3 linked regions of the Drosophila melanogaster genome follow. The protein of the gene in region 2 interacts with the protein of the main gene of each other region in a pairwise test. Each region holds a gene or a part of one and is shown on either strand. Other genes may lie near its edges. The genes, in order: Rtel1, CG10616 and kmr.

The links.
Region 1: the proteins of CG10616 (region 2) and Rtel1 interact in a two-hybrid assay, tested with the Drosophila melanogaster proteins (one large-scale study listed by BioGRID).
Region 3: the proteins of CG10616 (region 2) and kmr interact in a two-hybrid assay, tested with the Drosophila melanogaster proteins (one large-scale study listed by BioGRID).

The regions. Positions count from the first base shown.
Region 1 is NC_004354.4:5,745,653-5,749,409, reverse strand, and holds the start of Rtel1 (regulator of telomere elongation helicase 1), read right to left. Parts: upstream 1,664-3,757; 5' UTR 1,542-1,663; coding exon 492-1,541; intron 417-491; coding exon 1-416. UniProt on the Drosophila melanogaster protein: A probable ATP-dependent DNA helicase implicated in DNA repair and the maintenance of genomic stability. Acts as an anti-recombinase to counteract toxic recombination and limit crossover during meiosis.
Region 2 is NT_037436.4:12,469,723-12,473,479, reverse strand, and holds the start of CG10616 (uncharacterized protein), read right to left. Parts: upstream 1,753-3,757; 5' UTR 1,644-1,752; coding exon 1,551-1,643; intron 1,459-1,550; coding exon 1,284-1,458; intron 934-1,283; coding exon 843-933; intron 774-842; coding exon 648-773; intron 555-647; coding exon 507-554; intron 296-506; coding exon 1-295. UniProt on the Drosophila melanogaster protein: May play a role in the trafficking of a subset of G-protein coupled receptors.
Region 3 is NT_033777.3:13,713,132-13,716,888, forward strand, and holds the start of kmr (kramer), read left to right. Parts: upstream 1-2,075; 5' UTR 2,076-2,688; intron 2,689-3,757.

The sequences.
Region 1 (3,757 bases), on a different chromosome or scaffold from region 2:
AGCGGCTTGAGGGGAGCTAGTGTGCCGCTGGTCAGGATTACGCTGCGCACTTGGGTGTTGAGCAGTTGCTCCATTCCGAAGCCAGGATTGAAGCACCAGAAGTTAATGATTTTTGCGACCTTGCTTAAGCCAGTCGCTGCTGCAATCGTTCCCTTGCCAAGCCAACCGCCCTGCTGTTTAGCACCCTGCTGCTTACCGTGTCCCTGCTTGGACTCCTCCACCAGGACATGCACTTTGAAGCTTGCGTACACCTTGCTCATCACATCCTCCTTGTTGGCAAACACAATGGTCAGTAGATCGCTAAGCAACGTGAAGGTGCCGCCCTTGCGGATGCTCATCTGCTGGGAGGCCACTAGGAGGTATTGCACCAGTTTGTCCAGCAGGGATACTATCGTTGCAACGTTGCCGTAGGTGAACTACAATAAAGGAAGTTACATTTTTAAATAGGCATTCTTTTAAAAACATTTCCGATAAGATTTAGTGCATCTTACATTCGCCTTGCCAAGCAGTTCGTACATCATGGAGGCGGGAAAGGTAGTTCCATCGACGGCGTTGTCCACAACGATGGCATCGATGGCCTTTTCGAGCTCGAGCAGCATCTCCTTGAGCAGTGTAAGGTCGTCCAGTGTGAAGTCCTTTGGCTCATCTCCAGCCATATCCTGCGACTCGCCGCTCGCAAAGACTTGCATGATATGCGTGACGTCCTCGATGGCCATGGCCACATCAGAGGACTTAATCTGCACCGAAGCGGACTCCTCGCAGATCTTCTCGATGTTGTGGGCCTCATCCAGGATCACAATAGTGTTGCCCAGTTCGATTTTGTTGGCCTTGCGAGCCTTGGGATCGAGTAGATAATTGTAGGGCATGAAGGTGATATCCGCCTGGGGAACCAACTCCCGAGACGCGAAGTAGGGACAGATCTTGAGTCGCTGGCCCACCTTGACCAGGTCCTCAATGTCCATGATGGTGGGTCCGCGCAAATCGGGATGATCCTTTCGCGACTCAACGCGCATTTGAAATGAACAGGTCTTGGAGTGCACCCGTAGCTTGCACATGTTGGTCTTGTTGGAGTTGCCCTGCTCCCGCATGACCTCCGGATGAATGCATAGCTGATCGCGGGAGCCCAGAACCACGGATCTCATGTTAGCGTACGCTGTCCTCTTGAGTTCCCGCATCGCCTGCGTCAATTGGGAGTGGGTGCGCGAGGCGTAGATGACCTTGGGCACGCCCCAGTTATTCGCACGACCCATGGTCTTGGCCAGCTCGGACAGGTCTCCCCCAGGTGCTCCGCCTCCAAGACCCGAAAAATCTGCCTTCTCCATCTTAACCATCTGCTTTTGGTGCTCCGATTGCCTGGTGCGGATCCAGGCCAAGGATGAGCACAGCAAGCTTAGGGTCTTGCCCGTGCCGGTTGGCGATTCCAGGACTCCATTCGTGCCATCGCGGAGACAATGGATCACCTTCTCCATGTACGCCCGTTGAACCGGGTACGGCTCGAACGGAAAGTGCACCGGAATGCCGGCGATCAGGCTCTCCGGCATTATTCTTAATAATACTATTTATTTACTTGTTTACGCGCCAAATCGGAGTGAACATGTGTTCGTTGGTCGATAACAATAAATGTCTGTGTAGGTGGTCAGTTATCGCTATCGATAGAGTACAGTGGACCCTGATTAAGTAATTTTATAGCGTTATCTTGAACTCCGAGTCAAATGTTTACAACTTGCATGTCAAACCCTGCGTAGTTTATTTTAAACGTAATAGTAGTACTAATCACCACCCAAAGTGCTGCAATCGTGTTTATGGTACCTTATGGATAATAGTAACTGAAACTTATAAACTTATTAGCATTGGAGGGAATACTGTAGTTGTGATTCTGTTTATTTGGATCAAAGATTAACGATATAACATTTTAAGTGAATGTTATGGATTATACCAAACTAATGAACTAATGGCATTCAAGATTAAATGTGCAGCATACATATAAATCCCCTAACAAGGTAAGTAAATATTTGACATCAATTATTACAAACTCAGTTAATTCAACCACAAATCCATTTATCGTGACCCCTTCGCTCGGCTTTTCCGAATCGCCGCGATACGGCCCCACTGATTTGGCGCTTCTCGGCCACACCAAAAAAACACAGAACGGCATCAAATCATTCGAACTTTGAGAACGGTAGTGTTGTGTTGTTATTGCTCGGCAGCAAAGTAAAATCCGAAGAGAAGCGAGTCGAACAAGAGAAGAAGAAGCGCAGGAGTGGACGACAGCAATGCAACAACAGTGACGAGGCGCCAGTGTGCAAAAGTATGTGTGCGAGTGCGTGTAAGCAACAACTCCCCGATACAAACCTACGAGCGAGAGGGGGACGGCGATAGCGACGGTCGTTCGGTCGGTCGGTCCGACCGCTAGTCGCGTCTGTCGGTCGTTCTCGCCTATGCACCTCGGCGGCAGAGCGAAAGAGAGCGCACTCTGGCTGTGTGTGTGCGTGTGTGTTCTCGCTCTCTCGCGCGGTGGTGATAAATTTCTGTTGGCACAAAGTAAAAATATAACAGAATAAAAAATCGTGGCGCGGCATATAGAAGCTAATCGAAAATTATTGCGAGTATTGGGTGGAGGAGAAACATTCCTCTTCTTGTGAGTGCGTTTTTGTTTTAGTTATTCTTTTTTTTTTTTTTTTTGGCCGGAAACTCTCACTCGAAGATGCTGCCGGTGTAGTTGTGTATGAATGTTGTACCATTTTTTTTTTTTTTGAGATAGAAAATTTAGATCTAAAATATTAACCATGCGATCCTTAGAATCGCACTTTTAAAATATGTCCACACATTTTCAAATTCGAAAGCTTTGGCGGGCTGTCGATGGGCGGGCGCTTGCAACTCTGGCGATAACGATTACCGTGCCGATAACGCGGCTGCACTAATCAGCATTATCACATGCAAATTAAGGTCATCCAAATGAAAAATGACCACCAATCAAAGGCCCTGCACCCCTTTGCCGCCCCCCATTTATGCGAAACAACTAGAAAAAGTGTGTTTATTTCTTCACCGTTTTTCGAGCTCTGACAACCCTGCCGCTGCTGCATAAGTGAATTCCGACAAAGAGCCGTGTCATTTTGTTGGCCAAAACATCGCTGCGCCGAGATTAATTAGACGGAAAAAACTCGATTACTTGAAGTGCTCGGCCCTATATCGTTTTGGTTTAAACGTGTGTGTGAGCTTTGTGGATTGCCATCAAACACAATAGGCCGACTCGTCCCCCGCAGCCACCCGTACCATTCCAACACGTCGGAGCAGGGTTGCCAGATCAACGATAAATCACACACCGCTCGTTTAATACGAATTTTGTGTTGTTTTTACTTAAGACAAAATTTGTGAAACTTAATAGATATATTTTAATTTCCGCTCAACGTTATACCTGTCCGAAGTGGGGGTATCTGGCAACTACACCGAGCCGCGTGTGTGCGAATGTGTGTGTGCATGTCCATGTGCGCGAGTGTGCGTATGTGTTTGCGCTCTTATTCAAATAGAAATTGAATGTTTTGCACTCGAATTCAAGACAATTACGGCTCCTCCGGTAAAAACACATTTAGACTGGCTGACCTAATTTAAGGTGTAAGGATGTGGGTTACGCCTGCGATCGCCGAGTGATCGTTATCGTTATCCCGGCTTTGGTTAATCGCATTCCTCCTTCTCCTCCCCCTGGCATCGGCATCCACCACATCCCAACCCCCTTTCTCATTTTTCTCCTCCATCGCCC
Region 2 (3,757 bases):
CGTGCCACCTGTTGTCGATGTCGGTTGCAGCTTGTCCACTTTCGTCTTTTTCTTTTTGATATAGGCCTGCAGATCGATGGTGTCCTCGACAACTTCGTTTTGGAGGAATACTTCACTGGCGAGCAGGTTCTTGCGCACCGACACTATCATACTCTGGAACTGGTCTTCGATGTTGACGCGACGCGAGGAGTCCAGTATGGGCAGCACATCATCGAAATCGTAGCTGCACTCCAGCTGAATCCACTCGAAGGGTTTGTCCACAAACCGGAACTCCATATTGGTGAAAGTGCCGCCGCTATCAAAAGAAATACTCATATTATATTTAGGCTAGGAAAAGTCTGAATGTAATCAAACTACCATATAAACATGAACAATCCTAATGGTTAACTAACACATAAAATGCATTCCAAGAAATAAGAAACACAAGGACAAGGATAGCAAAGAAAGTGATTATTGAACATAGAACATAAGTTATGAAAGTACATAGTTCTCAACTTTTTAGTTACCATATGATGCATTTTATGTTTGCCGTAAAATACGTTTTTTTGCAATGTCTAGTTATAAATTGTAAGCGATTCGTTTGGTGAAAGAAAGAATACACATTGAGACCCGTATCTGTGATCAGGGATTACGTTTCCGATACTCACTTGCCATAGCTGTAGTTCTTGCAGAGCACTTTCTTGTCGGCCAGCGAATACGAGAGGAATACGAAATCAGTCTGTGCAATGTCGGTGGTGTAGACGCCAAACGAGCTGTTGCTTTTCAGGAGCAAACTGGAAAAGTAAGAAAAGAGGTCATTTCAAATGGAGACTCATATCATACTCATATAGTTAGTGACTTACTCGTAAATATCTGAAAACAGCTTTTTGGCATTCTTAAATTCGGCGCTCTGTTCGTTTACTACATCGGATCTTACTGAAGACACAAAGATTCCTGCAAAGATAAATAATTCATTAATAATTAATTCTAGATGGTAAGTCCTAAAGCTTCGCTTACTTTCATCTTAGTTAAGTACCTAAGTTTACATTACTGGTTTCACTACCCATTACTGATAGCTTAAAGATTTATCTATGACGAAAGATCAAAAGTTTCGAATTGACAGATTAAACAGTCAAATTGGGTGGGTTAGCCCATATACAAAACATACAAAAAAAAAGGGTTTGGCTAAATTTCGAATCCACGGGAGGAATACAAGGTCCCCATAAATAATATGCCTTAGCATTATGACTATGATTATTTCTGGGTAGGGCAGATAAAACTGCAGGGGCAGCACGCAAACCCACCGATGACGTCAAAAGATCCGGGACACATTTTGCTGGCGCTCAGCCACTGGGAGGCCAATGCCTGTGAGTTGATGTCCGAGATGGTGAGCCGGACCTCCGACAGGTCCTCCAGATCCGCATCCTCCTCGTTGTTCCTGGCCAGGTGGACCACCACGCTCTTGGTGAGATCCGCTTGCTATTTCAACCGAAGCGGATGAAACCAGGAGAAAGTGGAGATTCAGTTGAGCGGGGGAACCAAACAAAATCTACGTGGCGGATGGCACTTACATGGCCCACGATTATCCCGTACGAGAACTGGTTCTCCTGTGCGCATTTCTCCAGGTACAGCTCGTCGTGTTTGCTCAACAGCACTGTGCGCATCGTGGCTCTGGGGTTTCTGTTTACTTCGTAAATTTAATGTTAACTATATTCGTTCCGAAATGACAAATTTTTAGAGCTGGGTACACCCCCCACGATAGTAGCTGTAATCGAATACTTGCTATCGAGGCTAAATTTCGATAGTGAGCGATAGTGCTAAGCTATTCAAATTTGAATTCAATTGCTATTTATTTTCGGATTTTAAAAATAACGCCACAATCAAGTCCATTGACCTTAATTAAATGGTGTTTGGGAATTTATTTATTTTGAATGTGCCGACTATCGATACGCACCAGCTCTATGAATTGGTGTGACCGAAGGTTATATTTTAAAAGTATGGATTATGAGGTAAATTCTTATCGATATTTAACGAAGTTTATTTAAAAAAGCTTGCCATCTCTAGAAAACTGTTAAATTTAAAAATATATTCGAAATTTTAAAAAGTGTAATTAATAAAACAACATTACCCTTTTTTTTTACTAAGAATAACTACTAAATTTTACATGTTTGTCCAAGATTTATTTAAAAAGTGTTTCAAATACCATGTGCAACATCTAGATAATATAATATATATGTTTAACAGCTCCTGGCGAGGCATTTAAAAAAAAAAATAACATTCAATAACTGTATACGTATAAATACGTAAATATACCTTATTTAAATAACTCCCTGAATGTTTATACAAATTTTATGAGAATAGGCACACTTTACTTTTATCAATTAGAACATGATTGAATAGATTTATTTATTAATTTTAAGAAATTGACAAGCAGTAATTTAAAGAAGACTCTTTGATATAGGGTTGTTTATTATTGAAATGTAATTGCAGTTTACTTTTGATTTTTCTTTACGAATCGATAAAGTCCTTGAGTGTTTATTTTCCTAATCTTTAGACACTCGACTTAGGATATTAAGACTTAATTTACCTCCGCGACTGCAAAGCGATGAAAGTATGTATGTATGTACCCCCGTGGCAGGTTCTTCAATTAAGGCCCCCGGCTCCAGCAGCAACATAATCTCCATCTCCATCTCCCAATTCCGCTGCACTGCATCAGCTGCCGTGGGGCGATTACGCACGACGTCTGGCCGAAGAGCGGACCCCATGAGTACGGATCCGTGCCACCCAAATGGTCAAGTGGCCGGTGGACTATGGCGCGAACGGACGCGATCGGTAATCGAATTAGGTAAACAAACACTCCATAAGGCGGGCGTACGTTGATAATGTGTGCATAAGCAAATAGGAGACCGTATTGGGATTGGAATTGGGATTGGGATTGGGGCTGGAACTCTGCGCTGGACGGATGGATTGGATGGACTGCGATGGATGGGGAGATCTCGAGGAGCGGGTTGCGATTGCGGCGGCGATGACGGGCGAAAAAAAACTAAATGAAATTTCATTTAGGTGGTCGCCAACGGCTGCGGACCATCTGCTTGTGTGAATGCTTGATTGTTGAAGTGCCACTTGATGGGGCGAGGGCGCACGCTACTCGCGGGGATTACACTGGCCAAAATTGGGATCAAATGGTTACGAAATATGTATATACCATATATAACACTATTCCATAGAGACCATTGATTCAACTCTTTAAATATTGCTATAGATCTTGAGTAAACTAGTAAAAAAAAATCGTAAAAAATATTTTTAAAAATTTCAGACTTTAATTAAGAACTCTTACTGTCAAGTTAAGACAAAAAAATGTTGTAAGAAGATAATTCTGTTACTTTAAATTATCCCAGAAAACAATGGAATGAAAAATATCTCAGTGCTGAAAGGTTTCTTTGGTTGCTGAGCAATATGGGTCACCGGTTTACGCAATTTCTTACCGTGCAGCGATCGGTATCCAGATATTATTTACTTAGTAAATTATTCCTGTTCGATTGTTTGCGTTTGCTCTGGATCTCTGGCATGAGGGCACTCGAACGTCATCGTCAGCAGCGTTTCATTCATGATTCGCCTTTCACAAATCGAAGAAACATATATGCACGAGTGTTCGGTGCATTGTGCACTTTGCATTCGAACAGACAAATAAATACAAAGGCAGTTCTGATCAGCTTAGTGAGACATCTCATTATCGCCAGGTGATTCTGCTGAACCATATCGTTTCGCATCCAGATTT
Region 3 (3,757 bases), on a different chromosome or scaffold from region 2:
GACGAAATGCATGGCATAAACTTTGCCAACTTGGCTGGCTGCAATTGTAGTTTGTGATGTGGATGTGGATCTGGATGTTGCTCTTCCTGGTGGTTGGGGTTGATGTTGGGGCGGCTTTGATGGCATCAAAGTGAGCTTGTCGTTGTGCAGACAAATGTTACGTACTCTCGTCACACTCTTACGTATGCAAATGTCCCTTGCCATTGCCGGCGCAATGCTGCAGTGCGTCCTCCACAATTGACAATTGTTGAAAATGCAAATGGAAATGGAAATGCCAAGACATGTGCCCAACAGCCACACCAGCAATTCATACATATGCCATGGATAATGGATACTGGGCGCACTGGAGGTGTGTTGGGGGTGGCATGCGGCGCATTGAGGTAAAGACAAATGCAAAGGCGTTGTCTCTACTATCATCATCCGGCGACGACATCTCCTCAGATAAGATAAACGATGGCAAAGTCAACAGCAACAACTGGTTGGCTACGAAATGCACTGCAAGAAAATGCAATGAAGTATGCTAAATACACTTGGCATGAATTTAATCTATTGCTATTGTTGAAAAGTGTGAAATGAATATTCTTAACCAGTGTCTTACATAACATTTCTGTATTTTGTTGTATTATAAAACGAAATACAAATAGTTTAATCAAATTTAATTATATAATATTATTTTATTATTACTTTTTGATATGAGTACTTGACATTTTTCTGAGTGCATGTGGGAGAGGTCAGTGTAAATAAGTAAATACGACATTCGTAGCCCAGAGCAGGCCGAAATAAATTCTCAAGTGCAAATGAGGTAAATGACAAGAGGTACGAAACCATCATAACCTCTGACCTGCCACCGATCCCCCCTCCACCAACGAGCGACCCATAAACGCCCACTTTGCCGAGCATTTGACAGTCGAGAGCAAACATGTCCAAGATGAACATCCATTTTGCATTTGGGAAATGAAAAGCGGGAAAGCTACAACTGACGTACATACTAGCATACTAGCAGACAGCTTGTCTATGCAGCAGGCCATCGCCATCCAATCCATCTGGGCGTGCAAATGTATCTGTATCTGCTATCCAGTATCTGGCGCTCGTATCTATTCCGCCTGTCGTCTCGTCCGCCTTTTGCAGCTTCATCAAATATTTAGCGCCAGGCAGGCGGCTTTATCTCGAGGGAACTGGAAGGAGGGACAAATAAGCGCATTCATTGTGTTCGTTCAGTGTAAATACGAAACGGATGTAGCACTGCTTGGAAAATAACAACTTTGTAAACTTAAGAGCCTAACTCGACTAGTTTGGTACTGTAGAAATATGAAAAAAAGGAAAAACTATTGTACACAGCTATTTGTAAATATCCTCGATGGATAAATTTATATAAAAAAGTTAAGACTTAAGACATACTGTGTACCTTTATTCAAACTAAAACATTTATACCATATATAATAGATACCAAGAATATTCCAGAGATTTCTCTTGATATAGAATTTCTGAATTTCTGAATGAATGGCGTTGTTTTATGTGCAGCTTCTTTTTGGTAATTTCATCGATTTACCAATTTATCACTTTCCTGCGGGCAATCACTTGTTTTGTTAGTTTTCCTTGAGTACTTTTGTCCACTGCACTTAATAGCATCGTTTTAAAATGTGAAAAGGGAAAAGTTTGCGAGCTGTCCAATCACTAATGAATTAAACAAACATTGAGGGCATCGACGTTATTTCTCGTTGAAACGCAAATTTAATAAACCACCCACACCTATGAAAAAACCACCGAAACGCAATATACCCCTGCAGCAGATGCTATCTGGAGAGCAGTCCGAACTACCCTAGTCAAAATGGAAAATTGGGAGTGTGGGGCAGTGCCAACGACCAGCCAAAAAGCCGGCAACAACAAACGCCCGCGCTGTACCACGCCGGCAACATGTTGCGTGTTGCTGCCGTGCGAGCAACATTGCAATGTTTGCACTCGCGTGTGTCGGTGTGTGTGCGTGTTGTTTATCTCGCTGCCACTTGAAATGTTGCCAAGAAGCCGGCCAGCAACATTAGCAGCATTTCGAAAACTTGTTTTCAACGTAGTTGGGTTTAGTTTACTTTGAGACGGCGACGCAGGTGGACGTGTCCGAGTGCGAGCGAAAGAGAGCGATAAACGCGAGCGGACCGCGTTATAAAATATTACAAAAACAACAACAACAACAACGCCAACAAGAGCTCAGTTCATTTCAGTGTTTGTCTTTAGTTTTATGGCGCACGCTGCGCGTCAGGTAGTTTTTCAGTTGTATATATGTACGTATGTACATATAATGTTTTTTTGTGATTCGTCTCGCGGCAATGTTTTATGGCTGACAAAACCATCGAGCGTGTAAAGGTTTTGCACTAACCGTACGACGAAAAAGAGGAAAAAAAAAAGAAGTGATGTACATTCTACGAGTAGATGTAAAGTGCTAGTGTTTACCCTTTTTTGCCGGGATTACTCATCATCGCATCGGCGCATCATCGACACCATCATTATCATTCGTTTACTAGCGGGCAACTTTACGAAATCCCAAAAAACCAGTATCGCTGTGCCCAAGTATCTGCAAGATACGTGAGGCAGTCCAGACCACATATTGGAATTTACTTAACACGTATGCAACACGCACCCATACCAGTTAACATCGAGCGGGACCCATTGGATTTTGGAACCGAAAACTACAGGGTAGGTAAAATCGCTTGTAAATCGGGGTTTCTTCTCGAGAAAAACAAGAGACGCGAAGCAAACACTCACACACTTGACCAGCTGCGTTTTTCCACCCTCACCATAAAACCTAATGATTCCGAACTACCTGTTTTTGGATTGACCCTGGTTTTCCCATTAGCCGCCAGAGGAGATTTCACTGCACCAGCGCATACCATATAGTCCATATATCGGAAAGCTGTGCGGCTATTTATAAATCTAGATACCCTGCGTTTTGGGGCCCAGGCTCAAATCCGGTTTTCCATACCCATATATCCCCCAGCCCAGCCCAGCCATCAATTCAATTTCTACTGGCTGAGTGAGTTTTTAACTCACAGAAGAATCTCCATCTCCAGGTCGAGCATCTTCTTCGCTGAAGATTTCTGAAGAGAGCTGGTTTCTTCGGGCCGTTTTCTTTTCCCTCGCTTTGTTTTCTTTCGTTTCGTTTTCGTTTTTTACTATTTGCCCGATCGTCGTGGTGATCATGATGCTGTGGCTTATTGCCGCCAAGATTTTTTCCACTTTTTTTTTTTTATGATTTTGCTTTTTGCCGATTGAAGGTGCATGGCCTTATTTACCCAGTTTCCAAATCGCTCACCGATTTCTGCTTATTCTGTTTTGGGCTTTGTTTTGAGGTATTTGCTGAATCACACGGGGATCATTTGAATCTTTTAGCCAGACAGTCACTGTGTGGAATTGCGATTGGGATTTTATTTGAGAGTCACACCCAGTCCGTGGCGAATGAGCTAGTATCCCGCTCCGGAATTGACTCACGGCCAAACAATGCGACATGCGGCGAAGTGCTGTGGGGCCACGCTGGCTTGGGCAAAAGAGAAAAAATCAAAAATGCAAAACTTGTTGCTAATAAACAACAATTACAGCAAAAGCAAAAACAAGTTCAGCTAACCACAAAAATGCTGGCAGCTAAACTCTAGACTCGTTGCCCAGGAGCTCCGCCGCACTCCACTACACTCCACTCACCAAAACAAGTCGGTGTATGGAGCCATTTTCTGATGTTGCTGGCTCACACTACTGGCCATTCGCCACCAGC